2 linked regions of the Sus scrofa genome follow. The protein of the gene in region 2 binds, or shares a complex with, the protein of the main gene of each other region. Links are inferred from orthologs where the notes say so. Each region holds a gene or a part of one and is shown on either strand. Other genes may lie near its edges. The genes, in order: BICDL1 and BICD2.

Region 1 (16,313 bases), on a different chromosome or scaffold from region 2:
TCAATACCTTAACAACTCACTCTTATAATTGTTATACTGATTACATGCTTGTCTTATTTCCCTGTATAGGCCAGATGTACTTGGTCACAGCTAAATCAAAGGGCCTGATTGTGTGATTCTCTTTTTCTGGCTTTCTTGTTTCTGGCAGTAGCACCATCATTCTGTTGCCCAGGTTAGTAACCTCAGAGGCATCTCTTTTTCCTCACTCCCACTCCCTAATCTCAATCAGTCTCCAAAGCCTAGGAATTCTTTTTTCTCAACCTCTCTGACATCTTGTCTCCATTTCCATCATCCCTTCCAGTAGCATCATAACCACTCTCCCTGATTCTCAACTCCCACCTTGAGCTCATCCTTAACACCAGTGCCAGGTGAATCTTCCTGAACTACAGCCTTATTCAGATCACTTCATGATTTTTTTTTTCCACTTCATGATTTTAAAATCTCCAATGGCTCCCCATGGTCTTTGACTTGGTGTTCAAGGCTAGATAGGTGAAAAGATCACAGGTTTTATAAGCAATCTGATCTCTGTTCAAACACTAACTGTGCCCTTTACTAATTGCAGGATTTGGCGCAAGTCCCTGACACATTCAGAACCTCAGTTTCCACATCTCCAAAATGGGTATAATAATACCTACCTGGAAAGATTATTGTCAAGTTTAAGCAAGATAATGTAAGCCAGTCCTTTGTCTGCCCATAGTAGGTATTCAATAAGTGGCATCTCTCCTTCTTCGGCAAGTCAATGCCACCCTATCTTTATTCTCCCTCCTTGGCTGTTCTCCAAACACAGCTTACCAACCCCTGTCTTTGTAGAAGCTGTTCTACTTGCCTTCCATCTTCCATAGGGAATCCTCTATGTCCTTTTAAGGATCAAAGTCATGAAGTGTTCTTTGATCAGTTTTTGTCAAATATTGTCAGTGTCATGCCAAGGGGGGAGGTGAGCGTGTGTCGCCACTGAAATTGTTTAGAATTGCCAGCTCATAGCAATAATAAAAAGCACACAGACTTTTAGTTTTATGCTACTGTATCTAATACCTCCTTTCTCTGAATTCCAAAAAAAACATATAGTATAATTTATAAGATATTTAATCTACTGTTTAATATAATTCAATATTGGTTATAATTATAGTTATTTCTATTCATGTTTTCATCCTTTATTAAATTATAAACTTTTTGAGGGAAATTAGTGTAACATAGTCATTTTTGTTCCCCCTACATAATATCTGACACCACAGCTTCTATGCAGTAACTGTTCTAGATAAATGAAGAGGTTAATACCAACCATACAGACCAAGTTAATATGTAACATGTTTGGCATTCTGAGATCAAGGTCGTTGGTTTTTTTTAACATCTTATTTAGTGAGCCCCTACTGTGTGCTAGGCAATATGCTAAGTGTTTTATATACATCAGTCATTATAAAAATGTATCAAGTTCCTACTTTGTTGTAGGCACTGTGCTGGGCCTTAAGAACAATGGGGGTTTGATCCCTGGCCTTGCTCAGTGGGTTAAGGATCCAGCATTTTCGTGAGCTGTGGTGTAGGTCGTAAATGATGCTCAGATCTGGAGTTGCTGTGGCTGTGGTGTAGGCCAGCAGCTGTAGCTCAGATTTGACCCCTAGCCTGGGAACCTCCATACGCTGCAGGTGCAGCCCTAAAAAGACCAAAAAAAAAATCGTATTTCTCCCAGTCACTGTCAAGTATAAATTAAATTACTATTAACTGCTGCATTATTCCAACTATCTATCTTTCCAGAACATTTAACATGCCCACAAACACACCCCAGACACAAACATAACTACATTCTGCAGAACATAAAATTAAACCTTGACTTCAGACAGTGATGGTTCCTCTTATCACAGCAAGACACCAAGAAGTCCATATAGGTTTTTTACTAAGAGCAAGAAGGGTAGCAGTAAGCAATGATAACAAACTATGAAAAATAAGCAAAAGGCGTTTTACTTATCTACTAGCAGAAGTTTTTAGCTGTCCTGGCCACTGGATGACATACTGATTCTCTAATCAGTTTATTCTGAAACTGACAAAGAAAAATAAAGACAACATGGGGGGGGGATTCATTTAAGAAACAGTGTTAGTATGAGCAGTATCAGCGGGTATAAATAACTTGCCTGCCAACAGATTAAACCAGAATGTGATGCAGAAAGAACAAGACACAATAAATGTTTGGCAGATTCTTGAAGTGAAAAAGAACTAGGAAATATCTAAAAGTAGCTTTGGATGAATGATATATGTGTAAAACACATCAGTAGTGTGTTGAGGGCCAAGATCATTGAAAAGAAGCAGGAGTTTCCGCTGTGGCGCCGCGGGTTAAGGACCCAGTATTATTGCAGCTGTGGCTTGGATTTGAAAAAGAAGCAGCAGGTAAATGTGAACACAGAAAATTAAATCACAAATCCTTCTAGATGCGGGCATTGGAAGAACCAAAGACAGCCACAAAGCAGTTGTTTCCTGATGAATTTGAGCAATGGAGACCCCTAAGTCACTAGAAGAAGGAGAAGGAAAGTATGGAGTAATATAGTCAATGTTGGTAGCAGTTCAGTCCAAAACAGAGGAGTTTTGTTGTTTGTTTATTTGTTTGCCTAAGTGGTATGGGTCTATTATGGGCTGGCTTCCAGATGTGAATTCCTAAGAGGACCCCTGGGCTCATGTCACAACCTCTCTTGTGTATCACACATTTATACCTTAGGCAACAAATCCCATTGTCAGATTGTAGAGGCCTGCTGTTTTAGATCAGGGTTTCTCAACCTCGGTGCTATTGGCACTTCAAGACAGATAATTCCTATTGTGGGAGGCTGTGCTGTGCACTGCAGAGTGTTTAGCACCATCTCTGGCCTCCACCCAGTAGGTGCCCATAGCAACCCCCATTCCCAGCTGTGAAAACCAAAAATGTCTCCAGATATGGCCCCATGTCCCCAGGAGGCAAAATCACTCCATTTTGAGAACCACTGGTTTAGAAGATGAAGAGATGATCTTCCAACCCAGATGCGGAAACCAAAGCCCACACACCCTGACTGCCTTGCTCAAATGTACACAGCTGGTTAATGATGGATTTAATCCAGCAACCAGAACATCACTCTCAATATCTCCACTCTACACCAACTTTAGTCAGCTAAATGCCACCATCATGATTTTGCTATACCCAATGTCACTTATTATTTTTCTAGTTGACTCATTTTTTAACCTTATAAATTCGTCTTTAAGAAGAAAAGGGGAACTATACTCAATACTTTGTGATAACCTTTAATGGAAGTGAATCTGTGATCTGAGACTCACTTTGCTATAAACCAGAAACTAACATAGTATTGTAAATCAATTATACTTCAAAAAAAGTAGTGGGGGGAACAGGCATATAAAGGAAAAGAAGTCAGATATAAATGATGTGATATATTGCGGTGTCAGAAGGAGAAAGCTGTGCTCGCTTATTTTATGTATTTATTTATCAAGCACCCACACTGTCCTCACCATGTGCCAGGTACCATTTTAAGTACTGCACATATATGAAATCTTTTTATCTTAATAACAACCTAAGGGAAAAAGGGAAAGGGAGTGTGGGTTCAGGTTGAGGGCCAGGAGAGGACCTTGGAGGGTGAGGGGAGAGGTGTGAAGGGACTGCTAAGGGGAGAACCTAGAGATGGGAGGGCTGAGAATGAAGTCACTACTGAGTATCTGTCACTGAAGTTAATGTTTTTCCCTTAAAAATCAAGTTGAGAGTCACTAGAGGTACATTTGCAAAATGTTGAGTCAGTTCATCTCCAAAAAACATAAAAAGCTTTTGGGTAACATTTTAGGAATTTTTGAGACTTTTATGTTCTCATGACTAGTTCATAAATAAAATTTAAAACTTTAAAAAAATGCATACATGCTTAAAATTGCGGAATGAAAATAGCAAATGTAGAACTACTTTATCACATGTTTTGCCAGCTCCTCATGTTTCTTCCACACCTGACTTCAAAAACAAATTTTCTGGAGGATATTTTGTCTTTTACACTTTCTAGTTTTTGCAGATCAAGATGCTAATAAACTTGAGGAAATTTGATGAGTCTTATCATATTTGGAAATATCAGAATCTCTAAGGAAGAAAATTTCATGCTTTACCCTTAGTGATGTGACCGCAATCTACGGCATGTTAGGATGGGTCATATCCAAGTTTACCAGAATATCCAGGTACCAAAAGCAACACTGATGCAGATACATTATAGAGGAATATGAAAATGATTTTTTAAAAAAGGTGAGGCTGAGTAACTAAGAGCAAGTGCTTTAGAGTCAGACAGCATCATAGCATCATGTAGTACTATGTAGTGGTGTTCTATACTAGCATTATAGGGTTATTGTGGGGATTAAATGAGATGTCATGTAAAGGACTTAAGGAATTATTAAATGATGAATATATCAGTTACCATTATTCTAGTATGAAGCAGAATAAATGAAATAATAAGCTTCTTAGATGTCTGAGCTTCTTTTCATATCTTTGCTTGGATGGGTTTTGCATCCCATCATCAACTTCCATGTGGGGAGGTACTTGTTCATTCTTCTTAGCTTAAGGTTGACCTAATGGTCTCAAATAAATGATTTTCAAAGTGTGGTTCATTAACTCCTGAGGTCCCGAAGACCTTTACAGAGGGTCAGAGAAGTAAGCACTATTTTTGTAAGAGTTGCAATGATAATGATTCTAATTTTATTAATAACAGTAAAACTAATTTCATAATCTCATGGTAGTAGACAATACCAACTGTCTACTACTCTTTTTGTTTTTCAATGTTATTGACATTGGCATTGGTTGTGCAAAGGAAGTATTAGGGTAGCCTACCTTAGCATGATTCATGGCAGTGGTACCCAAGCATACTGGTAGACACATTATTCTTTACCATTATGTGCTCACAGGATGAAGAAGAAAATTATTTTCATTAAAGAATGTGCTTGCTGAAGCAGTCCTTTTTTTTTTCTTTTTTTTTTTCTTTTTAGGGCCATACGTGTGGCATATGGAAGTTCCCAGGCTAGGGGTTGAATTGGAGCTACAGCTGCCAGCACACACCATAGCCACAGCAACTCGGGATCTAAGCCATGTCTGTTATCTACACCACAGCTCACAGCAAAGCCAGATCATTTAACCCACTGAGTGAGGCCAGGGATTGAACCCTCATCCTCATGGATACTATTTGGATTCGTTTCCTCTGCCCCACAACTGGAACTCCTGAATATTAAATCCCAATACTTGAGTACACATCTTTTTCATATTCCATGTGATGAAACAGAAGTACCCATAAAGCACTTCTGCATCATACCTGAGTGCGTTGTTGTCTTGAGATTAAGCCCTTGTACCATCATTTGAGTTAGGAGTTGAACTAGTCACATTTTTCATGGAATACTGCTTTTATGTGAATGAATGATAGACACTATGGTATTCAGATTTGGGCACTTAGTAGACATTTTCTCAAAAATGAATGTACCAAGTCTGTCACTTCAAGAAAAACCATAGATGCTATGGTTACCAATGATAAAACTGAAACCTTGCAGCAGAAATAAGAATTTTGGAAAACTCATACCCACATCAGTGAGCTTGATAGCTTACCAATACTTCAAGACTATTCTGATGAGATCGGTTGTAATGTTAATGAATGGTATTTTTAAATATATAGTATAGGTGAATATGATAATAGAATATGTATATTCTTTCAGATTTTTTCCCACTATAGGCTATTAAAAAATATTGAGCATGTTTCCCTGTGCTGTACAGTAGGTCTTTATACTATTTATATTTTATATATAGTGGTGTGTATTTTTTTAATACCAAACTCATAATTTATCTCTCCTCTCCTTGCTCATTTTTTTGATTTGAGAATATATAGTTATTTTTCATTAAATACATTATGTTAACATATAACAGGTTTATTATACGTATTCAAAATAAATATTAAGAAATTTTCCATTTCAGTTTTTTGATACAGTAAATATCTAAACCCCTATAAAGTTTTTTGAGATCTTCAACAAGTATTAAGACTGTAAAGGAGTTCCCATCCTGGTGCAACAGAAAAGAATCCAACTAGGAACCATGAGGTTGTGGGTTCGATCCCTGGCCTCATTCATTGGGTTAAGGATTTGCTGTTGCGGTGAGCTGTGGTGTATGTTCACAGACACCATTCGATCTGGTATTGCTGTGGCTGTGGCTCTGGCGTAGGCCGGCAGCTACAGCTCTGACTGGACCCCTGACCTGAGAACTTCCATATGCCACAGGTGCGGCCCTAAAAAAAATAAATAGTACTTCAAGGAGTTCCCTGGTGGCCTGTTGATTAGGGATTTGGCATTGTCATTGCTTTGGCTGGGGTTCAGTCCCTGGCCTGGAAACTACCCACATGCTTCCAGGGTGGCCAAAAAAAAAAAAAAAAAGTAGTCCTCCAAGCTTAAGCTGGTCTCCTTTGACTTCCTTTCACAGGAGGATAGTACTTAGGGCCAAAGCTGTAGTAGCAAATGATCACTTCTTGGTCAGGTTAGGCAGGAGACCATTGTGAGGAAGGACTTTCAGAAATTAGAGTTGCACTTTAATATGAACTTTTGTTCATTCTTATAGTAACAGGCAAGTCTAATAGAGTGGGACCATTGAGTTTAGGGTAAGACATAGACTTCTGGGGAAAGATAGGCTGCAAGTCTGTATCAAGGAAAAATAAATAGCTGAAACTGCTTTTGATTAGGAATTCTGTTTGCTTTTGATATGTGTGTCCCTAATCTATTTTTAAGAGTAAATTATTGGAGTTCCCATTGTGGCTTAGCGGAAATGAACCCGACTATTATCCATGAGGATGTGGGTTCAATCCCCAGCCTTGCTCAGTGGTTCAGGTATCCGGCATTGCTGTGAGCTGTGAGGCAGGTTGCAGATGTGGCTTGGATCCCAGGTTGCTGTGGCTGTGATGCAGGCCGGCAGCTATAGCTCTGATTACTAGCCTGGGAACTTCCATATGCTGCAGCTGTGGCCCTAAAAAAGAAAGAAAAAGACAAAAGGAGGCGTTCCCGTCGTGGCTTAGTAGTTAGCGAATCCGACTAGGAACCATGGGGTTGCGGGTTCGGTCCCTGGCCTTGCTCAGTGGGTTAAGGATCTGGCGTTGCCATGAGCTGTGATGTAGGTCGCAGACTCGGCTTGGATCCTGCGTTGCTGTGGCCCTGGCGAGGGCCGGCGGCTACAGCTCCGATTAGACCCCTAGCCTGGGAGCCTCCATATGCCGAGGGAGTGGCCCTAGAAAAAAGGCAAAAAGACAAAAGGAATTTGCAGCTGGATCTCACCATGGGCCCACAATTTCTGCTCAAAACGGCATAATAAAATAATGTTAGAACAGTGCATTGTTGGAATAGTACCATGGTCAAACTTTCAAAATTAGCTCTATAATTGATGTAGGAACCCCTCTGTTGTCTATCTCCTTTTCAATCAAAAGAGAACAAAGTTAGCCCTGAGGCTCAGAACCCTTTTGGGATTCTCACCTTCAATCTGAGGGTAGAAAATGATGTATACACCTGAGTATCATTTAGGTCCTGAGTTTAACAAGGAGAAAAAGCCAGGAGAAACTATTTGACTAATTTCAGCCACTGGTGTCCTGAAATTTCCATCTCACTGTGATGAAATAAAGTATGATCTAACTCAGAAATGGGTCATTGTCCAATAGGAAAGGGAAAGAATAGGGACCAATTCTAGCTTCAGATGGGATTGTTTCTGAAAATAGGAAACAAACATCACCAATGAGGTCAAAGCAAAAGCTGACTGGAATCACCCAGCAGGATCTTCAGTTCTTGGTTTGGTCATTGCAGAAAGCTTTCCAGATAGCACTGTGGAATTAGACCCAGGCCATTTTGGTCACAAACTACCATTTACCTTTCTCAAGACTTAGGTGGGAGGAAAGTAAAGAATATTACCGTGAACCCTGGAATCAGCCTGCCTGGATCTGATCCTGTATCTCTCATGGCCTCAATTTCCTTGCCTGTAAAATGGGATGAGTGATCGTACTGACTTTATAAAGTTCTTGAGAGAATTACTTAAGATAGGGCATATAAATAACTCAAGACACGGTACATACTAAGTGCTTAATAAAACATAAGTTACGATCAAGGAGTCTTTCCTTTGTATTCCTATCTGTGAGCAGGTTTTCTGTCACTTCTCAACAGGACCCCTTCCTTTCGGGCTGCTGATCTTCAAGGTATCTGGTCCCTTATATCCCTGAGTCATCATCATTAAGATGCTGGGTTTCTGAAGTCATCCCTCTTACTGCTCTCTAGGGCTCCCTCTCTTGACTGCTTAGCTCTCGCGGGGGCTCAGGCCCGGAATCCGTGACCGCGAGTCTGTGTCGGGCTTAGCCAGTCGGGGAACTGTCGCTACTCCCCTTGGAGACCACCTAAGACTGAGAGATCCATCAGACACAGAGAAACGCCTCAGTCGAGAAGCCGGCGTGAGGCCAAGGGCGGCGCGGTGCCCCGAAGTGAGAACAAGGCTGGGGGCGGGGCAGTGCTCGGAGGTGCGCGTGAGGCCACACCTCGAGGTGAGCGTGCTGGGGGGCGGAGCCACACCCGGAGGTGGACGCGAGGCCGGGGGCGTGGCCGCGCCGGGGGGCGGTGCGGGGGGGCCCGGACCGTTAGGGATGAGCCACTCGTCGCCACAGGCGGCGCGCGCAGCCGCTCCTGGGCGCGAGGCAGCGCAGGGGTTAAGGCCGCGGTCGCCACCTGAGCGCCGCTGAGGAGACCCACGAACTGGCGAATCGCGCGCAGGCGCGGTGAACAGGTGCCCGCGCGCGTCAGGCGCCAGCAAGGGGCGGGGAGAGGGGGCGCGGCCGGAAGCCCGGGGCAGGGTGCGGCCCGCGGGGTGATAGCTAGGAGCCTAGGAAGGCAGGAAGGAGCTCGCCCGGCTGCGCCGCGCGCGATGTGGAGCCGCCGCCTCGGCGCCTGCAGCAGCCGCTGTCGCCGCCGCTGCTGCTGCTGGGGCTGCTGCCGAGCCGCGGGACATGGAGCGCGGCTGCAGAAAGCGGCCGCCGGCAGCAGCAGCAGCGAGCGTCGCAGCGACAGCGGAGCGCAGCCCTCCCCGTGAGGCGCTGCCTGGCCGGCGGCGGCAGCGGCAGCAGCAGCAGCAGCAGCAGCAACAGGGAGGCTGAAAACCCGGCAGCGGCGGCGGCGTTCCTCTTCGCAGTCTCTCTTCCCGCTCCGCATCCCCTAAGTCTTTCCTTCCTCGGCCTTGCCTTTGCCACCCCCACCTCTTACCCAGCTCGCGCTGAGCAGCTGAGCCCGGGGGCGGGGGGAGGGCGCGCGTGCCGCCGGCGCGGGGGAGGGGCGGGCCGGCGCGCGCCGCGCCCAGGGCTCGCGGGGACCCGGGGGGCGCGTGCTGCGGCGCGAGGCGAGGAGCTGGGCTCGGGGCGGCGCGGCGGGGCCCCTCCCCCCTGCAGCCTGGCGCGCGCCGGCCGGGCCGCACCGCTGCGGGCTCCGCACGCGCGGGCCATGTCCGCCTTTTGCCTGGGCTTGGCTGGCCGCACTTCAGCACCCGCTGAGCCGGACAGCGCCTGCTGCATGGAGCTGCCCGCCGCGGCCCCGGACGCTGTCGGGAGTCCCGCCGCCGCCGCCGCCCTCATCTCCTTCCCCGGGGGCCCTGGGGACCTGGAACTGGCTTTAGAGGAGGAGCTGGCGCTGCTGGCGGCCGGGGAACGGCCGTCCGACCCCGGGGAGCATCCTCAGGCCGAGTCCGGGCCTCCGACCGAAGGGGCCGAACTGCAGCCGCCGCCCGCCCAGGATCCCGAACTGCTGTCAGTGATCCGGCAGAAGGAAAAGGATTTAGTGTTGGCTGCCCGACTGGGCAAAGCGCTGCTCGAGAGGAACCAGGACATGAGCCGGCAGTACGAGCAGATGCACAAGGAGCTGACAGATAAGCTGGAGGTGAGGACGTCCCTTCTGGGATGGGTGGGAGGTGGGGGGAGGGGGAGCCCAGGCACCCCCCCGCTGGCCCTGGGTAGCCTCAGGAGTCACTCAGTCACTCGCCCCGCCCCACCCCTTCGTTGCTCATCCTGCCTCATAGAAAACCACCTGGAAGGGGGTTAGAATCGAGGGTTTTGGATTATCAGACTAGGGGATTGATCGAACTCACCTGACTTCGCAACCTGCTCCCAGCAAATAGGTCCACTCACTGCTCCAAACGCTGTGGGCCGTTCTATATAAGTAATGTACACAGCGTCTAAAATAGAGCTTACAGTATGACTAATTCATACAACACTGAGGTGATGTCTGCACAAAGAGAAATTAGAAAGTCGGGAAGCATTTAAAATATGCTCCAGGTTTTCAGAGAAGTAGGTAATCGCTAATCAGGGTGTTAGCCTAAAGCTTTCCAGCTTTGGCGTTAAGGCCTCCAGATGCCCTTGTCTCAACTTCCCGGCTGCTCAGAGTTGTGGGAAACAAGTGCCCCTAAAGGAGCTTTATATAGCCTTCAAATACTCGGGGATTAGGAAATAAGGTTCCATTGCAGAAATCAGGCGAGTCTGATTGGGCTCAACATGTGACGGTTGCGTGTTTGATTTGGGCCTCAGTGTTTGTATTTAAATGATACTTTTCTGTTTCTGTTCTGGGTCTCACGTGTAATTGGATGGCCACATGCATCCTATGGGAACCATCTAACTTTATTGTTGTAAATATCCCTTAAATTATGTATAAGATTTCTGCCAGTCCTCTGGACCAAAGTCTTTTGCAGCTATGCCCTTTTTTTCTTGCCCTTAACTAGAAAAGGGCAATGAAAGTGGTACAGATGGCCACCATTTCTAAAAATTAGAGATTTAAAAAAAAAAAAGTGAGAGTGGGGGTGGTGCATCTTTGGCACTGGGGATGAGTTTATCTTTTTCTGCCTGTGCATTTCCTATTGTTACTCAGTTTAGCTGCAACCAGTTCTTTTTATTCTTAGTTACAAGAGAGCACAGCCCCGAGTAAGGGGTCTGAAAATGATCGTAGTGGAGTTCCATATCACTGCTACTGTCCAATATTCAGAATGTAGATTCAGAAACTTTTCTATAATAAGTGTATCTGTAGTCCAGCGACATATCAGAAGTAAATAAGGAAGGAAAAAAGGGAAACCAATGAGTGCCCTGTAGTTCAGTTAGCCTGTTAACTAGGTCTGCCAGTCGATGAACTCCTGAGATACTTCTTTGAAAAGTGGTTTGTGAAACCTATAGGTAGACTGCCAAAAAGCAACCCAATGAATTGAATTGTTTAATTTTTACTTGAAGTAAAGGTCTGGAAATAAAAGGGTGTCTTTTATTTTTTAAAGGATTCAGTTACAGACTCTATATAGAAGTATTGTTGCAGAGATTTATGCTTGTGATTTGTTTGAAATTTCTTCAGTGAGGGACCTGATTAAAGAGACAGCTAACTTGAACATCATACCAATCAGTGTGATTCCTGATTTCAGGGAAATTCTGAGTGTGTGGTTACACACATCCTGGGTTCCATTTGGAACCTGTGTACTAATGTCTTCAACAAAGGAAAAAGATTTCAAATTCTGTAGCAAGAAGGGTTCTATTGTAAAAGAAGAAACTACATTTGACTTTTTGCTTTTGACTTGATAAACACGATAAAATAGTTTAAAACTCTGAACTATTTTTTAAAAACTTCACTCCTTTCAGGTCAGCGTATGAACTCTAGTGTTAAAATTATTTTTAATTTCTGGAGGTTGGTCGCACAACACTGTGAATTTAATTAACACTGAACCAACAGTGCAGTTAAAAATGGTTAAGATGGTAAATTTTGTGTTATGTATACCTTACCACAATTTTTAAAATAATGTTTTTTAAGTTTATTTTTAAAAAGTAAAATATGGGGAGTTCCCGTCGTGGCTCAGTAGTTAACAAACCTGACTGGTGACCATGAGGTTACAGGTTTGATCCCTGGCCTTGCCCAGTAGTTAAGGATCCGGCGTTGGGGTGAGCTATGGTGTAGGTCACAGACACAGCTGGGATCCTGCATTGCTGTGGCTATGGTGTAGGCTGGCAGCTACATCTTCGTTTCAACCCCTATCCTGGGAACCACCATATGCTGCAGGTGCAGCCCTAAAAAGACAAAAAAAAGTAAAATATTGATCATTAATCAATATTAATAAGTTATAAGGGGGTTCAGTTATACTACTACTTCTAGGTATGTAAAAATTATTAAAAATTGTTAGTTTTTAAAAAGGTATATTAAAAATATCAAAATATTGTCATTAATTCCTGGTTAATTCTTTTAGTATTCATATGAGAGTGACAACTCTGATTAACAGGGAACTATTTCATTTGATACTTGGAAGTGAAATTTTTCCTTGCAAATTATACCTGCAAGTAAATTTTTTTTCCTTTTTTTGGTCTTTTTGTCTTTCTAGGGCCGCACCTGTGGCATATGGAGGTTCCCAGGCTAGGGGTCTAATTGGAGCTGTAGCTGCCAGCCTATGCCACAGCTACAGCAACACCAGATCTGAGCCTCGTCTGCGACCTACACCACAACTCATGGGCAACGCCAGATCCTTAACCCACTGAGCGAGGCCAGGGATCGAACACGCAAACTCATGGTTCCTAGTTGGATTCGTTTCTGCTCCGCCACGACAGGAACTCAAGTAAATTTTTTTAAGCAGCCTAGATTTTAGAATGTCTGGTTGGACAAATTCTAAGGTTTAACATAGCCAGTGTGCTAGCGTTTCAAATAAATTCAGTATTTAGGAGTAGAGAGCCATTCCTTATTTTAAAAATCATGCATAGTTTTCTACAGACTATCAGACAGTGGAGTCAAACATTTTCTCATGGGTTAGTTTGAAAGATAAACACATGAATGGACCAGAGAATGCTGGTTTGACTATTAAACAATGAGCCTGGTTATGTTTTAGTCCCATCTGCTTCCTTACAACTTTAGAATTGACCCCTTTCTAACTTCAAGACCAACAAGTCATTTTCAAGATCTTTTCTCCCTATTTTTTTGTTAATATTGACTACCTCTCCAGTTCTGTGCCTCAAACTCAAGGTTTTGTTTCTTCATTTAAGACAGAAAGTACTTGATCTTACACTACTTTCTCACTAAAGGTATGCTCTTTTTAAAGTTTTTATTGGTTTAAAGATTAACATAGAAGTTTTTTTTGTTTTTTTGTTTGTTTTTTGTCTTTTTGCCTTTACTTGAGCCACTCCCACAGCATATGAAGGTTCCCAGGCTAGGGGTCGAATCAGAGCTGTAGCCAGTGCAGGATCCGAGCCGAGTCTTCGACCCACACCACAGCTCACGGCAATGCCAGATCCTTAACCCACTGAGCAAGGCCAGGGATCGAAAACGCAACCTCATGGTTCCTTGTCAGATTCATTAACCACTGCGCCACAACAGGAACTCCTAACATAGAAGTTTTGTTATGCTTCTCTTAGGGTTAAAATGAATCTTCATTTTAACTTGAGAGACTGTGAGGTTTTTATTATTTTTTCCACCCTTAAATTGACTATACTGTATTTCATGCCCTGAACTAGATTTTCATATGCTCAAGTATCTGAAAGCATTTTTAAAAATTTATTTCTTCTGCATCTACAATTAGCCATTTTGCTTTTAAAACATTCAGCCATACCCTTAGATATTTTCCCCCAAGAATATGAACTAAGACAATAACTTGCATTTATACACTTTTTTCATCAGAGATTGTTTATCTAGTTTTTTAAAATATATTTTTAATATGCAGGCTCCCCTTTCTCCCTGTTCTGAGTGAATTATCTCTTACTTCAGAGGTAGTCTTTTCCCTCAATTGCATTTTCTTCCCCCTTCTCTAGGCCAATTCTGAGGATTCTATCACTATTTTTTTTAAGAGGCAGAACAAATAAGGTGAAAATGATTACCTAATTGGCTAGTAGACTTAGGTAAGCAAATACAGGGATCCTTATTTGCATTCAGTGCTTGGTCCACATACAAATATTTTTTCTTTGTGTATTTCAAGAACCTTAGCCTTGATTTAGAGAATAGTATTGCTTTTTCGGTTCTTTGCAGAAATCCATTTCTGTAGCAGCCAATTTTAGGTGGGCTAATGATACTTATGTTTTTTCAAAAATCTTGAACTTTTTAAGAATTGTTTTAGATTTTTTAAATTTACAGAAAAATTGGAAAGATAGTACAGAGTTTCCATATACCCTACCCCCAGTTTCTCTGTTATTAACATCTTACATTTAGCATGGTATACTTGTCATAATTAGCGAACCAATAGTGCTAAGTTATTATTAGCTAATGTCCTTAGTTTATTCAGATTTTCTTAGCCTTTATCTAATGTCTTTTTCTGTTCCAGGATATCGCATTACATTTAGCTTCTGTATCTTCTTAGTCTGCTCTTTGCTGTAGCAGTTTCTTAGACTTTCCTTGTTTTTGATGACCTTGATAGTTTTTGTGTGTATGTGTTCTTTTTTAAAAAAAAAAAAAATTTAGTTGATTTACAGACCTTGATAGTTTGGGCATTAACTTTTTTTATTGAGGTATAACTGACATTGTATTAGTTTCAGGTGTAGATATTAACTTTAAAATAACATATAACCCCGAGAAACAAATAGCATGGGCAGAGGCTGACCTCCACACCTGCTGATGTTCTACCTAGAGTTTACTGGTTAATTTAGCACTTAATCGAAAATAAAATTCCAGTAGAAACTTAACTTTTTTCAGAGTAGACAAAAGGCTAAATTCATTATTTAGTATTTTCATTAACAGGTAAGTGTTGATTTTTTTTCCCCCCAGGGTGTGAGGAGACCTGAATTAGGAAGTTTGTCACACGCTCAAAGAAATTTAAGAACAGAATAGACTGATCAGCACCACCTGTCCTCAACCCTGCACCCCCCCCACCACCACCACCCCGGCCCCGCAAGTGGATTGGATTGTTTTAGTTGCTTGGTTGAGCTGTTCACTAACAGCTGTTTGCTGAATATTTTTAAGTCTCTCTGTTCTTTTAGAACACAAGCCTAATTTATCTGGCCTCTCACTAACACTGTGATTACTGAGTTCTTGCTGTTGCCTTCTGCTCAGTCTTTTCCATTTTGGAAAAACTCAATAAAACCAAGTATCACAATTTTAGGATTGCAATTAGCACTTGCTTCTGTATATCATCTTTCTGAAGTTTGTACAGTGATTAAAACATTCTCATTTTTGGAAGTTTACAAAATGAGGGCAGCATAGAGCAGGAAATTCTCTTGCTAAGGAGTTCAAGTCCCTCTTTTGTCAATCCTTTTCCCATGTGCTCCAAACTGAGGCCATATAAAGTTAACTATAATGTGACTCTCAACAAACACACCAGAGTGGCTATATCCAATTTTTTTTTTGTCCTTTTAGGGCTGAACCCATGGCACATGAAAGTTCAGGCTAGGGGTTGAATCAGAGCTGTAGCTGCTGGCCTATGCCACAGCAACGTCAAAACATTAACCCACTGAGTGAGGCCAGGGATTGAACCCGAGTCCTCATGGATACTAGTCGGGTTCATTACCGCTGAACCACGGGAACTCTTATATCCAAATTTGTTATTCCCTTGAAGTGGTCAACTTTGGAGAAACATGCGTTTATTTCATTGAGAACTGCCTTTGCTAGTGTGCTCAGAATTTTAATTGTTCTGACTGCTCCATCATGGTAAATTTTCATCTTTTGGGGGTAAATTAGACTCTCAGAAACATTCACAAGTCACTCAGAGCAAATCAGGGGAAATGGAATAATCTCTTTTTAGATCTATCTCATATGTGAAGTAATGGAACTGATTTTCTTGTAAATGTATGCGGGCCCTTAAGGCTTTCCAAAAGAGGAATTCCAAGAAAATTTGTAAGGTTAGAACTTGGATAGAATAAGAACATAGGTTTGCAAGTGAAAAAATGTCTGAGTACTCAGAAGAAGATACAAATGTTCATGTTAGCATGTTGAAACAATTTCAGTGCTTGGTGTCAACCTTCATTGCCTTAAAAATTCCTGTAGAGCTTAGAAAGATAGATCCATCCCTAGGCCAATCTTTGGAAGTGATGTTCAGGTGGATATATAACATTTTCTGATAGCACCAAAAGTTTAGGACTGTTGCTTTACATTTCAGTACTCCCTGAGGTATAGACTTGGCTTTTTTGTATGTTTGTATACATATTTGTATAATATACTTCGTAAGGAAGAGAACATACTTGTTTCTGAAAAGAGGCATTCTTATATCACAGAAACAGAAAGATGTTCTTCCTTCAATCCAAATGATTATTTTCTGAACTGCTACTTCAAACCTTGTGTACTTTTCCTGCATACCATTTGTCATAATGTACAATTTATTACTTTTATCACCCTCTCCCTATAGAATGGAAACT
Region 2 (14,898 bases):
TAGAACTGATTTATACTTTGACTCAAAAGTGAGTCACCCACAGCTCAATGATGGTATGAGAAATCAAGGCAGTTTACAAAGTAAATCTGTCTTAGGTCTGGGTCTCTACAGTATACTTCCATTATGTAAATTAGAGAAATGGGCAAAAGTGACCTATACTGACAGATTCAGGGAGTTACCCCTGGGAGGGAGTGGGTGCAAAGAGCACAGGGGCTTTGGAGGGCTACCTGCCCTCATCTGCTTTCTTATCTGGATGATGGCTGCTCAGTGTATTCAGTTTGCAAATACTCAGCCAGTGGACACCTGCTTGCACTCCTCTGTGTTTGTGCTATACTTCACAAACACTTCAGGGTAAATAAAACAAACCATGATTCCTTAAGAGATGAACAAAAGGGACTGTGGTGTGTGACCAGGGATTCCTATTTGTCCCTCATAGAGGCCCATGATGGGGTGTGCTCATGGTATCCATGCAGGGAGGTCTTTTCTGTAAGTGAGGTGCTGTGGCACTGCCTTTTGCTTGCTTAGGAGAAGGAGCTCTGGGGGGCGGGGGGAGGGGAAGCAGAGAAACTCCACTCCAGGGACCTAGGCTTACAAAGGCAAGTTCACGGATGACCAAGGTGAACACACAAGAGCCAGTATGCTTGCCCACGAGAAACTCAATAAAATGATAACACAAAGTTCTTCCAGCTTTGCTGTTTGGACACAACTGAAAGTTGGGCACAGAGGTGAACCTGATGGCATCCCATACCTGCTAAAACACCATGCCAGGTAATGCTAGAACGTAGGCATATCTGTTTTCCCAGGAGGCTCCCACAGGCAGGAGGCAGTCCAACACCTTGACATGGCAGGCAAAGGCATCTCATTAATGTGCTCCAAAAAGCACTCCTGAGAGGCAGGGCTTCCGGTCACACAACTGTGTTCAGTGTGTACAGAAGTGGACTGTATATGAGAATTATGCACTTCCCTGAACGCAGATTTTATTTTCGTAAAAAGTTGACTTAAAACCACACTTATCAGGAGTTCCCGACGTGGCTCAGTGGTTAACGAATCTGACTAGGAACCATGAGATTGCGGGTTCGATCCCTGGACTTGCTCAGTAGGTTGAGGATGCGGCATTGCTGTGAGCTGTGGTGTAGGTGCAGACGCGGCTTGGATCCCGAGTTGCTGTGGCTCTGGCGTAGGCCAGTGGCTACAGCTGTGATTCGACCCCTAGGTGGCTCCATATGCCACCGGAGCAGCCCAAGAAATGGCAAAAAGACAAAAAAAAAAAAAAAAAAAAAAAAAAAAAAACAAAAAACCCCACAAAAAACAACAAAAAACAACAAACCACACTCATCACAGGACAAAGGCCAGTTCCATGGCATCCCAGACCTTGGCGATGACACTGCCAGCAAGAATGACATTAGCAACAGTCATCTGTTTAGTGCCTTATGCATGCTGGCTATCTAGGGCTTGGTGAAGCTTTAGTAGAACCTTGGAGCAAAGAACTATCACCTCCAAACCAGGGGAGGCAAACTGAGGCTCAGAGAGGTTAGGTCAGGCAAGGTAAGTCAGCTACGAGGGGACGATTCGGCCAAAGGCCTGTCTCCTAGCTGGTGCCAGAGACTGTCTGTTTCCAACTCTGGTAACCTGCCGAGGTGGGGGGAAAAAACCACTGAAGAGCGATGCAAGAGGTGGGGGGAATGGGAACATTCCCTCCTGGAAAGGAAGACTGAGTGAAAGGCTTTTTAGTGCCAAGTGCCCCCTCTCACAGGCTCCCAGCTTCCCAGGATCCTACCCACTTGAGAGGCTGCCACTCCACCTGTGAAATGGAGCACATTTGCAAGGACACAAAGCACGGTGAAGGATAGGGAAGGCCTCGGTGTCTGTGCCTGTGCAAACCAAACACCTCCACAGGCAGGACTGGGCAGTGGCTACAGTGCACTACACACACAGAGGGTGGCAAGGGCAGGCATCCCCACCTGAAAAGGCACCTGTCCTGCCCAGCCCACTGCCCATGCCCCCTCCTCTTGGGAGGGGGTCTCTTCCAGATCTGTTGCATGCTCTCTTATCAACATGGTCCAGGGGGCTGTTGTGGTGACAGGCCAGTAGGGAAAGAAGATTCCTGTTAGCTACTAGGAAAAACAAGTCTCTTGAACCTAAGTCTCAAACTGAACATGGATCCACACTACTAGAATGGGATGGGTGGAGGACTGTCAGAGAGAGGGGCCTCTCACTGACTCTGAGGCAGGGGAGACTCTAGGTGGAGGGAGGAGTCCTGAGGAGATAACAGGGCAGAAGGACCTTGACCTCAGACAGCTTCCCTGAGGGAAGCCCTGAGATTTGGGTGAAATGACTCCGACCTGACTGGCGGGTGGCAATGTCCTTGAAATCACTCTGACCTGACGGCGGGTGGCAGTGTCCCTGAGACTTCCTGTTCCCTCAGACAGGATCTGTCTCCAATGACCACACAAGCAATCACTGGGCCGGGCTCATTGTGCTTTAACACATTCTTGCAGATGGTTTTGTGTCAACAAACAAGTCATCCCTGCTGCCTGCATCCATTCATTCCTGGGTTCAGACAGCAAAGGATCCCACGTTATCCAAATCTCTTTGCTTCCTGGTCAGGGAAGGGTGGAGGCAATGTGCTCTCACTGCCACGCTGCTGGTCCGCCCACCACAGGAGGCACCCCCTACCTGCCCTTTGCCTCCCCCTACCCCCACCCGCCCTTCCACCCCCCACCACTAAGACGGCCCCCCCCAGGTTGCTTCTAGTTCCCACCACCAGGGTTAATGACAGGCTGGAATTACAGTGTGTTGCTGGACCCACAGTTATCTGGAGCAGGGGGTCAGGGCAGCCACAGAGAACAAGTCTTGTGCTTTGTCTTTTTATTATTCTTTATTTACCGGTCCTACCAACATGACCCTTTACCCAGGCCCACCATTCCTATGTGCACTGGCTTTTATAGACATTTGCACCATATGTCTGTGTCCCAAGTTGTGCCTGATTTCTTCTTTCTAATCCTTTTTCCATGCTGTGCCTCATTTTTTCAGAATCTGAAGGCATTTTTGTTTGTTTGGGTCTGTGTAAAGGTTCCTTGGCAGGAGGACATGCATATGATCTTAAAATAAAGACAACATTCTGACACTAAGGTAATGCACAGAAAAAAATACAGTACTCAGACGTCATTGCAAATAAATACCCCATACAGATGAAGTTTTCGTAAATGTAACATTATTCCTTATGAATCAACACTGTAAGATAAGGTAAAAATAGGGGTCCTTACAACTAGGAATAAGAAATGCTATTCCAGGAAACAGAATCTTTTATTTTTGCTACTTATATTATTATAATTTGTCCTGCATTTTAGAGGAGGGAGGACACTTTTTCTTCTTCCTCCGAGAGTACCAATTTGACCATTCGCACAACCTCACTCAGCAAATCAGGATGGGACGTAGACCTGGTTTGCTAAGGAGCTTTAGAGAGTTCTGTTTCCTGAAATTAACAGTGATTAGTTACACCGAGCAAGAGGATACAGGAAGTCTCTTTCTCACATTTGCAAAGAATACTATGGCTAGCCCTCATCCCACTGCATGAGGCCGGCAGTGCCGGCTCCCCTGCCACTTGCCCCCCTCTTCACAAACATGGTGTGTGGTGTTCAGCTTGTTCAGCTTGTCCCATAAAGTCCATTTGGTTCCCAAAGCACACTCAAGGTTTGTATTCACTTTCATTTTCTGAGCCCCTGAATTTGCAAGGATCTGCACAGTAAAGAATCACTGACTAACAGAATTTTGCACAATTGCTGTTTTCTTTCCCTCAATGAAGATGCCCAGGTTCAGCTTTGAAGGTGTGTGCCTGTTCACACCGATTGGTCCACACTGGCCTTCAACTTTCCCAACTAGCTCTTCACTGTCTGTTTTAGAGAATAAACTATGCTGGGACACCTCCCTTAACTGATGAAGGCACTACTGGCAATGATTACTAACAAAAAGGTGTTGAAATAGAACACCCTAAAAATCGACGACTGTAGAATTTTCTAAGTGTACCACAATTTGGCACAACAACCAGAGTAACAAAACAATTCCAATTTGGAATTTCACTGGTACAGTTGTATAAAATTCTGTTAGTCATGCTTCACAATGTCCTAAAACCCAGAAAATTCTGGAATTTGTAGGTAATACTACTCATTCAATAATTTATCCTTTTTGTTTTCAAGTGCCTTTTACTGTTTAACCAGAGCAAAGGTCAAGTTTTCTTCTTGTTACATTGAACTATTCCTAAGAATAATAATAATACAATATGAAAAACCCCAGAATCGCAATACCCTGGATTTCTTAATGAACATGGCATTTAAAATCTGTAATTTCAAACATGAACCACAATGCCGTGGAATCTAAAAGGCTGCTGAACCACAGCGTGGATGCACTTAGCCTGGCTCCTCGCTGGGCTGAAGCCTTCATCTAAACAGTCTGGAGCTACACGCTAGGAGGACACGTCTGTGCCACGTGCTGATGTGAGATCAACACACCGTTGGGAGCTAAGTTGGAGCACTACGGGACCACAAGACAGAGTACGGCATCAGAGACCATCTCTATGTCAGGGATTAAGGAAGCAAATATAATATCAAAATATCAAAAGTGCACAGGTTGATCGGATAAAAAAGGAGTATCTGTAAGAGGGATACCCCAGTGGTGAGTTCCTAGAGGGTTCCTAAGCAAGCCTGGTGGTCGCTGTCCAAGCAGGTTCTTCAGCCCATGTACAAAGGCCTTTCCAAGCAGCAGCTGGCGGCATTCTCAACATTAAAGCTTTTATTTTCCTCTGCCATTAAAAACTCGGGGAATGCTATTTTGAAAAGAACTGCAGTGGTATCTCCAAAAATGTTTCTAAGTGGACTTTTAGGCTGCCCTTCCTTCCTCTGTGTGGGCCCACGAGAGAGGAGGGGAGGGGGCTGCAATGTGACAGGGCCAGCGGCCGAGTCCTCCCAGCAGCTACTCTACAGCTGAAAATGGGAGAAAACAAGACAGTGTTAGAATCGGTCGCCCGTCAGACAACTAAAGCTCTCACCAAGCTGTGAGGGCCAGAGTGTGTTAGTTGGCAGCAGAGAAGACCTGCGTGTGTTAGAGGGGCCGCCGGCCCTGAGTGCCTCATGAAGACCCTTGACAAGTATGGAAAGCAGCTGCAGGTCAGGCTTGGCAAGGAGGCAAAAGCAGTGTGCCAGTGTGCAGGGCCAGCATGGAAGTCGTACGTGCGGAGGGGAGATGGCCTGACACCATCTCAAGTGGGAGGGGAATCCAAGACCTGATGTCCCATCTGCAAAGCAGCATGGAGCAGGGGACAGGCCTACAGAAGGGCATAGGCGGTCCATCCTGCCTATTTTCACTCCAGCCATTGGCCAAACCCAAGATGGTCTGGGCAGCACCTGGAGTCTGGTAGGAAGGGACTGACACTGGGGAACTAAGGGGAAGAGTGGAATGGGGACAGATAGCTGCATCAGAGGGAATGCAAACCCCCCTCCAAGCCCGAGAGAGGAGGCAAGGAGCAATTCAGGGAGACTGCAGCCTCATGGCTGGTGCCCCCATGGATGACAAGGAGAGAAACATGGAGAGAAGTTCTGCTGCTAAAGCTCTGGTGTGGGTGCCCCTCTGAGAATGGGGCAATCCTAAGGCTGCCTTTCCTGCCTATCCCCACCCCTGGAACTGCACAGACTATCAAGAACCATATTCCTCCGACTATGAATCCCAGAACCAGCCCTGGGCCCACGCAAGGCTCCTTTCCCACATCAGGCTGGGCTTCAGCTCCACCTGTGAGATCCAGCCCTTTGTTTTGCCCTGACCCACTAGCAACTCGAGCTCAGGCTGGGAGCCCTCAGATCCCTGTTTCTTACAGGCTAACGCTTTCTGGGAGGAAGGCCTAATAATAGGCAGAGGGTGAAAGAACCCAGCTGAGGGCCAGGGACACCCTAAGTACAAGAGGATGGGCTTCCCATGAGAGAGGTCTGGCCAGCGGCTAGGAAGTTTTTCTCATTGAAAAAACCCAGGTCTCTGGCCTGCCTATTTGTCACCTTGTAGGCCACTAGACAAGCGTACAGATCTTAGAAAGAGAAGCTGAGGCTGCTGAGCCCTGGTCTCGGGGTGCGGTTACCTGTGCCTTGTGAGCACGATGACTGCCACCCAGCGCATGTGTGTGCCTGAGCTAGAGGGTGTGGGGCTCAGGGCTGCTCTTTCTCTGAATCTGGGGGAAGAAATTCTGTAATTCTGTCTCAAATGTGACTTGCATCGAGATGCTGCACAAACTAAAAAGCAATTCTCTCCATTATCTGTGCCAAGCACAGAGTGTTCTCCAAGGCTGCATCTGGGATCCAGGATGGAAACTCTAACACTGGTGTCGAGGTGCCAGGGCAGTACAGCTGCATTAGACACATGCGGGGGAACATGCAGGTTTCAATGCAGGATCTGCCCCTCTCAGTGAGAGTCAATGGCACCTGGGCCCTGGTAAGCCAGGTTTTTTGCAAGGACATGTGGCTCCAACCCTCCCCCCTGACCACCCCGCCCACCACCAAGAGAGCAGCTGCTGTGAAGGGTGGTCTCGAGGGGTGAGAAACAGACACAAAGCTTGCAGTGTCCAGATGGAGCAGCAGGCTGCCTAGGCCAAATTCTTCCCCTGTGCATAAGTCAGTTAAGACCAGCCTAGCACCACGGTCCTGCTGCTGCCAGGTTAGTTGAGGTGAAGCGGAGAGGTGACGTGCGGCAGGTTAGCTGCAGCGTGTGACCTCATGGCCCTAATCGCAGTAAATGTTATACTTCTCGCCGCAGAGCACCTGGGCAGCAAGCCCAGCACCCTCAGCCCTGTCACTTGCACAGGCACAGGTGTGACTTACGCTCGGGGTGCCAGGCTTGGCCTTGGAGTTGGCCTTGGCACGGCCTCGCCGGGTCTGCTCATGGTCCAGCTCAAGCAGCTCTAGCCGCTGGGTCAGTGCCAGCTTTTGCTGGATGGCCATGCGCAGCAGAGAGTTGAGTGTCTTCTTCTCGTCCTCGGCGGCTGCCAATTGCCGCTGCATCTCATCCAACTGTGTAATGTACTCATCACACCTGTAGGAGGTGATAGCACAGCTGAGAGACCTGGGAGAGCCAGCAAAGCATGTGACCATGGCCCCCATGCTGAGGGTGGGGGATCTCAATGGGGTTCACCCGCTCATTGGTCTGGAAGCGAAGAGGAAGTGCCCCTCCAAGGTTCAGTTTTCTCTTGGGGGCTCTTGGAAGCCAGTTTTCACTAAAGGAGGTGATGGCTGCCCTCCAAGGCCTCCAGGTGGCACAGGGGAAGGAGACTGGAGTGAGATGTCACCTGGCTCTCAGGATATGGGGATAAATACAATGGCAGAACTTGGCTTGTTCTCAGAACAAGGTGCTTAGTAAGTCTGAGACAAACGGCCCATCAGAGCCTGGGAAAAGCACATGTGGATGCCATAAACAACCTCACTTTGGCATCTGCTGAACTGTACCACGTACCCCCAACCTGGGTAAGGAGCTGGGAGACAAACGCCTTTTTCTGGGTCTGTCCCTGAGGGAGGGAAGGAGTGGAGCCTGGGTGGAAGGGGTGGTGGACACACCCATCCCACACCCCTCCCCACCAAGGTCAAGGGCCATTTAGCAAGTTTTAACCCTTGTCCAGAGGTCTGCCATCTCAGCTCCATCTGAGAAGTCAAGCCTTTAAATAAGACAAGTTGAAACTGACAGAACACTGTAAGCCAATTATAATGGAAAAAATAAAAACCATTAAAAAAGGAACAAATTAATAAATGAAAAATAAATAAATAAGTAAATAATGAAACAAGTTGAGGAAGTAGGGCTGGACACACTATGTATGAGGAACCAAGACCTTACCCTACCACTTTGCCCACAAGGAGAGAAAGCTTCCAGAAAGGCCTGAACGTTTCTTCCTCTTTGCCCCTCTCCTCCCACATCACTGAAATGCAAGGAGTGCCCAGCACCTGGACACTAAGCCAGGAAGGCCTTGAACTCAGTTCCAAGCCTGTTTAAATAAGAGCCTCAGCCTCCCAGCCCTTGAGGACACACCAGGACTACCCAGGGGACACTCCCCTGGTGCCCACTTGACAGTGGCCAGCAGATGGCGCCATGCCCTTCCAAGTAGGGAGTTACCAAGACTGGCCCCAAAGCAGCCTCCAGCTCTGCACCTCCCCAAGCTTCCTGGCCACAGAACTGGCCTAAAGAGAGACACTGCCTGCCTCCCCTGCAAACTCCAACTGGTGGGGTCAGGGGGAGCAGTGGGAACCCACCACTACCAGGAGGGGAGTCTTTCTTCTAAATCTACAAACTTCCACCAAGCTCTGGGGGGCAAACTCCTCATGTGCCAGTTACTGGCCCCAAACCCAGCTCACGTAACTTGCCCACTTGCCTGTTTCCCATCAAAGCTCATGCCTCAAGCCTGGCCACTAGGGACTTGCCTGCTTAGTCTTTTGTGTTTCCAACTTTCTCATCGTACATGTAGAGACAAAACTGGGGCCCTAGCTTTTCACGAATAGCAGAAATGGAATTTCCCACAGGGCCATGCTCCTGGGCTGCGGAGCAGGGACAAAACAGTAAGTGTTACCTGGTGGCAAACATGGCACGCAGCGAGGAGAAGGTGGCTGCATCTTCCTTGAGGGCCTTGAGCTCATTGCGCAGCTTCATCATGGTCTCGGTCACCATGGCCTTCTCATTCTCATACTTGCTCTTCAGGTTGGCAAGGGCCACCTCTGCTGTCTAAAGGTCAGAGAAGCAACAAATAGGCAGGTGAGAGGCGTGAGAAGGGTCTGCTGCCTCTGCCTCAGTGGGTGCCACAGACCGAGGCCCCGACCAGCCCTGGGCCCTCCAAGGCACCAGCCCCTCCACACAGCACTGAGGGGAGGTTTTCCTTCAGTAGCAGGACAGGAATGGGATGGGAAGCCAGGGAGGTGAGGAATCACCCTCCCACCTGCCCACGTGCTGGACCCCCAGCGCCATGCACACCTGCTTATTGGCCTTGAGCACGGTGCGCAGTGTGGTGATCTGCTCCCGCTTGGTGCTGAGCAGCGACTTTAGCTTCAGGATCTCTTCCATGAGCGCCTCGCGGTCCTTGTCTGCAGCTGGGCCCAGCTCCTGCGAGGCCAGGCGCTGGCGCGACAGCTCTGTGGTGCGATCCACGGCTGCCTGCAGGTGCCTGATCTGGTCACGGATGATGGCGATCAGGTTGTAGATGTTCATGGGCTCCCGGCGTGGGTCACTCAGGGGTGAGGGCAGTGAGGAGCCAGGTGAGGGGCTGCTGTCCCTGGCCTTAGCCTCTGTGGCTGGTGGCCCCTTGGGTAGGACAGGTGAGTGGCGCCCACGGGCCTCAGGGCTGCAGCTGCCAGCACCAGCTGGACCCTCACGGTAGTAGTCCAGCACCACCCGGGTGGGTGTCTCATTGTTGCACATGCACACATGGTGGTAGAGGTTGGCCAGCTCCTCGCTGAAGGTCACCAGCTCATCCTGGGCCACGCTCAGGCTGCCCTGCGTCTCGCCTGCGACGTCACTCATCTTCTTCAGCTCCGTCTGCAGCCGGGCCAGGAGCTCGTGGTCCTGGCGGCTGGCCTTCTCCAACAGGCAGAGCTTCTCGGTGAGGGCCTGGCTCTCGGCCTCATGCCGGCCCTTCTCCTCTTCATACTGTGCCTCGCTGGCCTCATGTGTACTACGCAGGGCCTTCAGCTGCTCCCGGAGCTCACCCGCCTCTGCCAGGGCCACACGGTACTTGCAGGCCAGGATCTCGGGTCCATTGATGTCAACCTCATAGTAGTCGCCATCCTCATGGCTGTCTCGTTCCTTCTCGCTGTCCAGGGCTGTCCGCCGCTCCTTGGTGGCCTGCAGGCGCCGCAGAGCACTCAGGTTCTCTGTAAGGCGGCTCACCTCCTCATGCTGCTCTGACAGGGCCCCTCGCACCTGCTCCAGCTGCTTCTGTGTGTCCTGCAGTGTGGCCAGCAGGCCCACCTTCTCCCGCTCCATCTGCAAAGGCACAGAAAGGGCCCATCAACAGCCCATAGGGGTCCCTGCTCCCAGAGGATCTCTGGATGGTCCCAGCAGTGACCCCACCCATGCCAAAACCATCACCCTGTTGGCCTGTGGAGTTGTCACATGTTGGGCTATGATGCCTCTTCCTCCTGCCCAGATGCTTGCAGGGCTGAGCCCCTCCTCAGAGACACACAGCGAACCAAGGGGCTGTGGTACAGACCCTAGGAACTGTCAACTGGGGTGGGAAAACCTGATGTGACATGTCTACAGGACACAGCAAAGGAAACTATACCTGGGCACCTCAAAGGGTCATCAGAAAACCTCTGGTGGTACCCAAACTTCAATCTTGTATCCAGAAACCTCCTAATTACCTTCCACCCATAATGCTGCAGTTCCACTTAAAGTTAATAACGCAGAATTTAAAGTAATATAAGTAAAAGAAGGTGCATAACATTGACAAAGTATCAGGCAAGTGCTGTCCCAGTGGTCGGCAGGCAGGTCTGGCCACACCATGGGGGACCAGATGGCAGTGGGGATGGTACACTTGTACCCAGGGCTCTGACGAGACCTGGGTGGGTGGGATCCTGGCGCCACCCACCCACTCACCTGCATTAGCTGCTGCTTCAGCTTCTGGATCTCAGAGATGTTGAGCTCGCTGAGGAGGTCAGAAACCAAGCTGGAGGAGGGCGGGACAAGGCCGTCCTTGGTGGGCGTGGAGGTCTTGTTGTCCAGCGGCAGCTTGGCCAGGCCACCATGCTCGAAGCCGTTGGCCAGGGCCTCAGCATCATCACTGAGCTTGAGGCCGTCCAGGGAGACGTGCAGGTGGCTGGTGTACAGGGAGTCGTTGATGCTCATGTAGTGCGACAGCTCCTTGCGCAGGTTATTCTTCTGCTCCCGCTCTGTCTTCAGTGTCTCCAGCGTCTCCTCCAGCTGCCGTTCGGAGATCTCCTTGAGCCGGATGGCATCCTCCAGCTGGCTGTTGAGGTATTCGGTCTCTTCCTCCAGACGCTTGATCTCATGCTTGAGGCCCTCGAACTCCACCTGTGAAGAGAGGGCCACCCTCTCCTAAGCACAAGGGATAGGAAGAAGCACCAGCGTGCTGACTGCACAGCTGGGAGGAGGTTCAGCCCACGCCTGGGACACATGTGCATATGTGTGAGCAGCGGAAAAGCATGGGACCTGCTCAGCACCACAGATGCTGTGGAAATGAGAACACTTCCCTCGCTGTCAACTTGTTAGATGACTTAAAATGTTATCAAGTGTACACTGATTTTTCCCCCTTTTGTTAACACCAAAGCTCTTATCTCTGCAAGTCTGTGAGAGCACTATTTTTGGCCACGCCCAAGTCCCCAGGCCAAGGATCAAACAAACCCACACCACAACAGTGACTTGAATTGCTGCAGTGACAAATGCCAGATCCTTAATCCACTGCACCACTAGAGAACTCCAAGTGTATACTGATTTTAAATTCTATAAACTACTTAATTAATACTAAAAGTTGATTAAATATATTAAGATACATAAAATATGTATCTAGATGTGCACTACAACCACAACTAATCATATTTCAAAACGAAGGAACTAAAGCTCCCACTGAAGTAGGATGTGCCTTGGCTGCACATAGAACCCATCCTGGGAGAGGCCCACTCAGGAACGCAAGAGGCAGACGGAAGCCACAGTTGCACCTGCTGAAACTATATTTGCAGGTGGACAAAGAAAGAGCAGATAGAAACTGATGCTTGATGTGGGGGATCAGGGTCTATAGGCAATGTTGAACAAATTTATAATCCTATAATATCTGTGCAAGAAACATGAAGCAAACCCCTTAGAGGCAGGACTGAGAGGGTCTCTGTTGATCAAAGCCTGGGGCAGGGGAACACCAGGGAGGGGCCAGACTCCACCACGTGCCACCAGGGCCTGTGTGTGACTGCACATGAGCATAGCATCAGAGGGCCAGCTGTGAGGCCAGAGGCAAAGCTCCTGTGCCTATGTTCCTGGGAGGAGATCCACTCCCTGCTGGGTGTCACAGGCACAGAAGCTCTGCTCAGCATAAACACACGGGCCCACACTTCCCCGCGCAGGACTGAAACACCCAGGTCCTTGATGTTTGAGGTTCCGGGGATAAAGGTCCCCCAAGTCTGCACCTTGTAGGGCTGTGGTTCTTGAAGAAGTAGGTGGCAGGGGCTGGCCTTGAGAGGCTTGAGTGCCCAGAACCACCTGGGTGTCCTATCACAGGCAGAGGTGACCCTCCTGTCCTGTCTCAGATGGGGGTGATCCTTCTGTCCCCATCCTGTCACAAGTGGGTAGATGTGACCTTCTTGTCCTACTCCTGTCCCTGGTGGAAGTGATCCTACTTGTCTCGTTGCTGGGGTTATCCAAGGGCATGAGGTGACAACACGGGCATCTCCACACTGCTCCTCAAGGCCCACCTGGCTTCACCCCAAGACCCAGGACCACATGAGGGACCAACAAAGGGGGCTGGCAAACCTGAGACAGTGGGAGGAGTGAGTGCACTGACAGCTCTAGGGTCCCACAGGACACAGGGACATCTGTGGCCTCCATGGGCACTCAAGAGGTGACAAAGCTGGACACCCAGCCTCTGGGGGTCTTTGGTGTCACCTCTTTATCACTTCCATTCCCCCCCATTTTTGCTGGCTGGGACATCTTGGCCAGGCCAACTGCCAGCCAAGAATGTAGCCAGAGACCTTGTTTTTCTGGTTGTGGAGGGGCTAGGCCCTGCTGCCACACACCGGGTCTGCAGTGGCATGTGGCCCTTGGCTGGATTGTGTGGGAGGAGGGAGGGAACATCTTCTGACATGGAGACAGACAAGTGAGGGTCAGGCCAGGGCTGCGGCCCAGAGCCAACCCACCTGGCCCACCCACCTGGCCCAAACACTCACCTGGTTCTGCCTGAGCACAGACACCTGCTTTTGCAGGCTGATGTTCTCCTCCTCCAACTCCGAGTAGTCCTGTAGCAGGCGGGCCTCCCGGAACTTGTACTCCTTTATGTCATCCCGAAGGCGGCCCCGCTGAATCTCCACGTTCTGGTTGATCTGCCAAGAGGAAGGCAGGTATGAGTAGCCTGCCCTAGCTGGTCTCCCCTGCCCTGGGGTAGAGGGCGCTCAGTGCAGCCAGGCCCACCGTGGTGGCCACATGGCCAGGACTTGGAATACCAGGCCTGCACCAGTGTCCGATGTGGCCACCTGACAGGGAGCATGGAGGTGAGCAGTGCAGGGTCACAGCCTCCTCTGACCCTTGGTTTCTTCACCTTTGAAATGGGGTCAAAAGTAGTTTTTTCCTCACATGCTGCTGGTAGTACGTACGGTGGTGCACTGCTGTGGCAAAAATCTGCAGCTACTCGACAATTCAGCATAGAGTTAACATCTGACCCAGCAATGTCCCTTCCGGGCAGGCACCGCAGAGAAACGAAAACACATGTCCACACAAAAACTTGTGCACAAATGTCCAGACGCTATCCACAATGGCATAAGTAGAAACAACCCAAGTGTCCACCAGCTGGTGATATAAAAACAGTATGTGGTACATTTATACAACTGGATGTTATTTAGTTATAATGACAAATGCTGTAACATGAATGAAGCTTGAAAAAAATATTATGATCAAAAGAAAAGGTGTCAGTGATCATGTATTATGATTCCACTTTTACAAAACATCCAGAGTAGGCAAATTCATAGAGATAGAAAGCAGATCAGTGGTTGCTGGGGGAAGGGGAAAAATGGGATGGAGAATGATTGTTCATGGAGATTCTTTTTGGAGTGATGAATTATTCCAAAATTGATTTGGGAGTGGGATGGGGTTAGCAAATGTAAACTATTATATTTAGAATGGATAAGCAATGAGGTCCTGCAGTACAACACAGGGAACTATATCCAATCACTTATGATTGGATATAGAACAGGATGGAAGATAAGTGAGGAAAAGAATTTGTGTGTGTGTACATGACCAGGTCACTTTGCTGTACAGCAGAAATGGACAGAACACTGTAAATCGACTATACTTTAAAAAAATTTTTTTAAAGTTACATTTCTTGCCTATCTGAGTAAACTGCGATTCATACTTCATTAGCATTGTAATGCTAATAAAATGTTTGTATATTCGACAGTTAAAAAAAATAAAAAATAAAATTAATTTGGGATAGTGCATAAATCAATAAATATACTAAAACCACTTTAAGTGGGCAAGTGGAAAGGATATGAACTATCTCAATAAAGCTGTTAAAAAAAAAAAGTTGCCTTGAAGATTCAAGTATCACACATGGAGAAAAGTGAGCGCAGACCTGCATTTACTGTGCAATCAAGACCAGCTGCTACTATGCGTCAGGTGCTGGGACTGGGTCCCTTGGCCGACCTTCTGAGCCATCCTGTACATTGTAGGGTGTGCAGCAGCAACCTGAGCCCTGCCCGCTGGATGCGCCCCCTCCCCTGCTGTGACAACTGAAACTATCTCCAGACATAGCCACTGTCCCCTGGAGGCAGAATTGCTCCCTAGACAAACTCTTCATCTCTTCCCACATCCCTGTTCCCATTGCTCCAAGCAGCCTCTTCCACATACCTGCAAAGATCTAATGCCCCAGGCCCAATGCCATCCTCCACCCCACCCCACCCCGCCCCAGGGCTAGAAGTACTGTCACCCACTTGACCCTAACAGCTAGCTGTGTCCTCCTCTCCCAGCACACTGGCCTCTCTGCTGGTGCTGAGGTTTCTGGGAATCACATCCACGCACATGTTTTGTCGACAAGACGCCCAGATTCCATAGAAGTACACACACACACAACAGCATGTCGGGGGGGAGAGGGGGGTGAAATGAACTAGGAACAGAAAGGAAAAAAAAGTACCAGAAAGGGGGAGAGTAATTGTATTACCTGTATCAAGTGCTCAT

Evidence for each region.
Region 1: BICD2 (region 2) and BICDL1 share a complex: the UniProt entries of both Homo sapiens proteins name them as parts of the tripartite complex. The link is inferred for Sus scrofa from reciprocal best matches to the Homo sapiens genes BICD2 and BICDL1.

What each region holds. Positions count from the first base shown.
Region 1 is NC_010456.5:39,995,088-40,011,400, forward strand, and holds the start of BICDL1 (BICD family-like cargo adapter 1), read left to right. Parts: upstream 1-9,377; 5' UTR 9,378-9,477; coding exon 9,478-9,909; intron 9,910-16,313. UniProt on the Homo sapiens protein: Acts as an adapter protein linking the dynein motor complex to various cargos and converts dynein from a non-processive to a highly processive motor in the presence of dynactin.
Region 2 is NC_010445.4:42,390,413-42,405,310, forward strand, and holds the end of BICD2 (protein bicaudal D homolog 2), read right to left. Parts: intron 13,053-14,898; coding exon 12,900-13,052; intron 11,041-12,899; coding exon 10,606-11,040; intron 9,994-10,605; coding exon 8,986-9,993; intron 8,740-8,985; coding exon 8,588-8,739; intron 7,069-8,587; coding exon 6,759-7,068; 3' UTR 4,980-6,758; coding exon of another isoform or gene 4,974-4,979; 3' UTR 2,859-4,973; downstream 1-2,858. UniProt on the Homo sapiens protein: Acts as an adapter protein linking the dynein motor complex to various cargos and converts dynein from a non-processive to a highly processive motor in the presence of dynactin.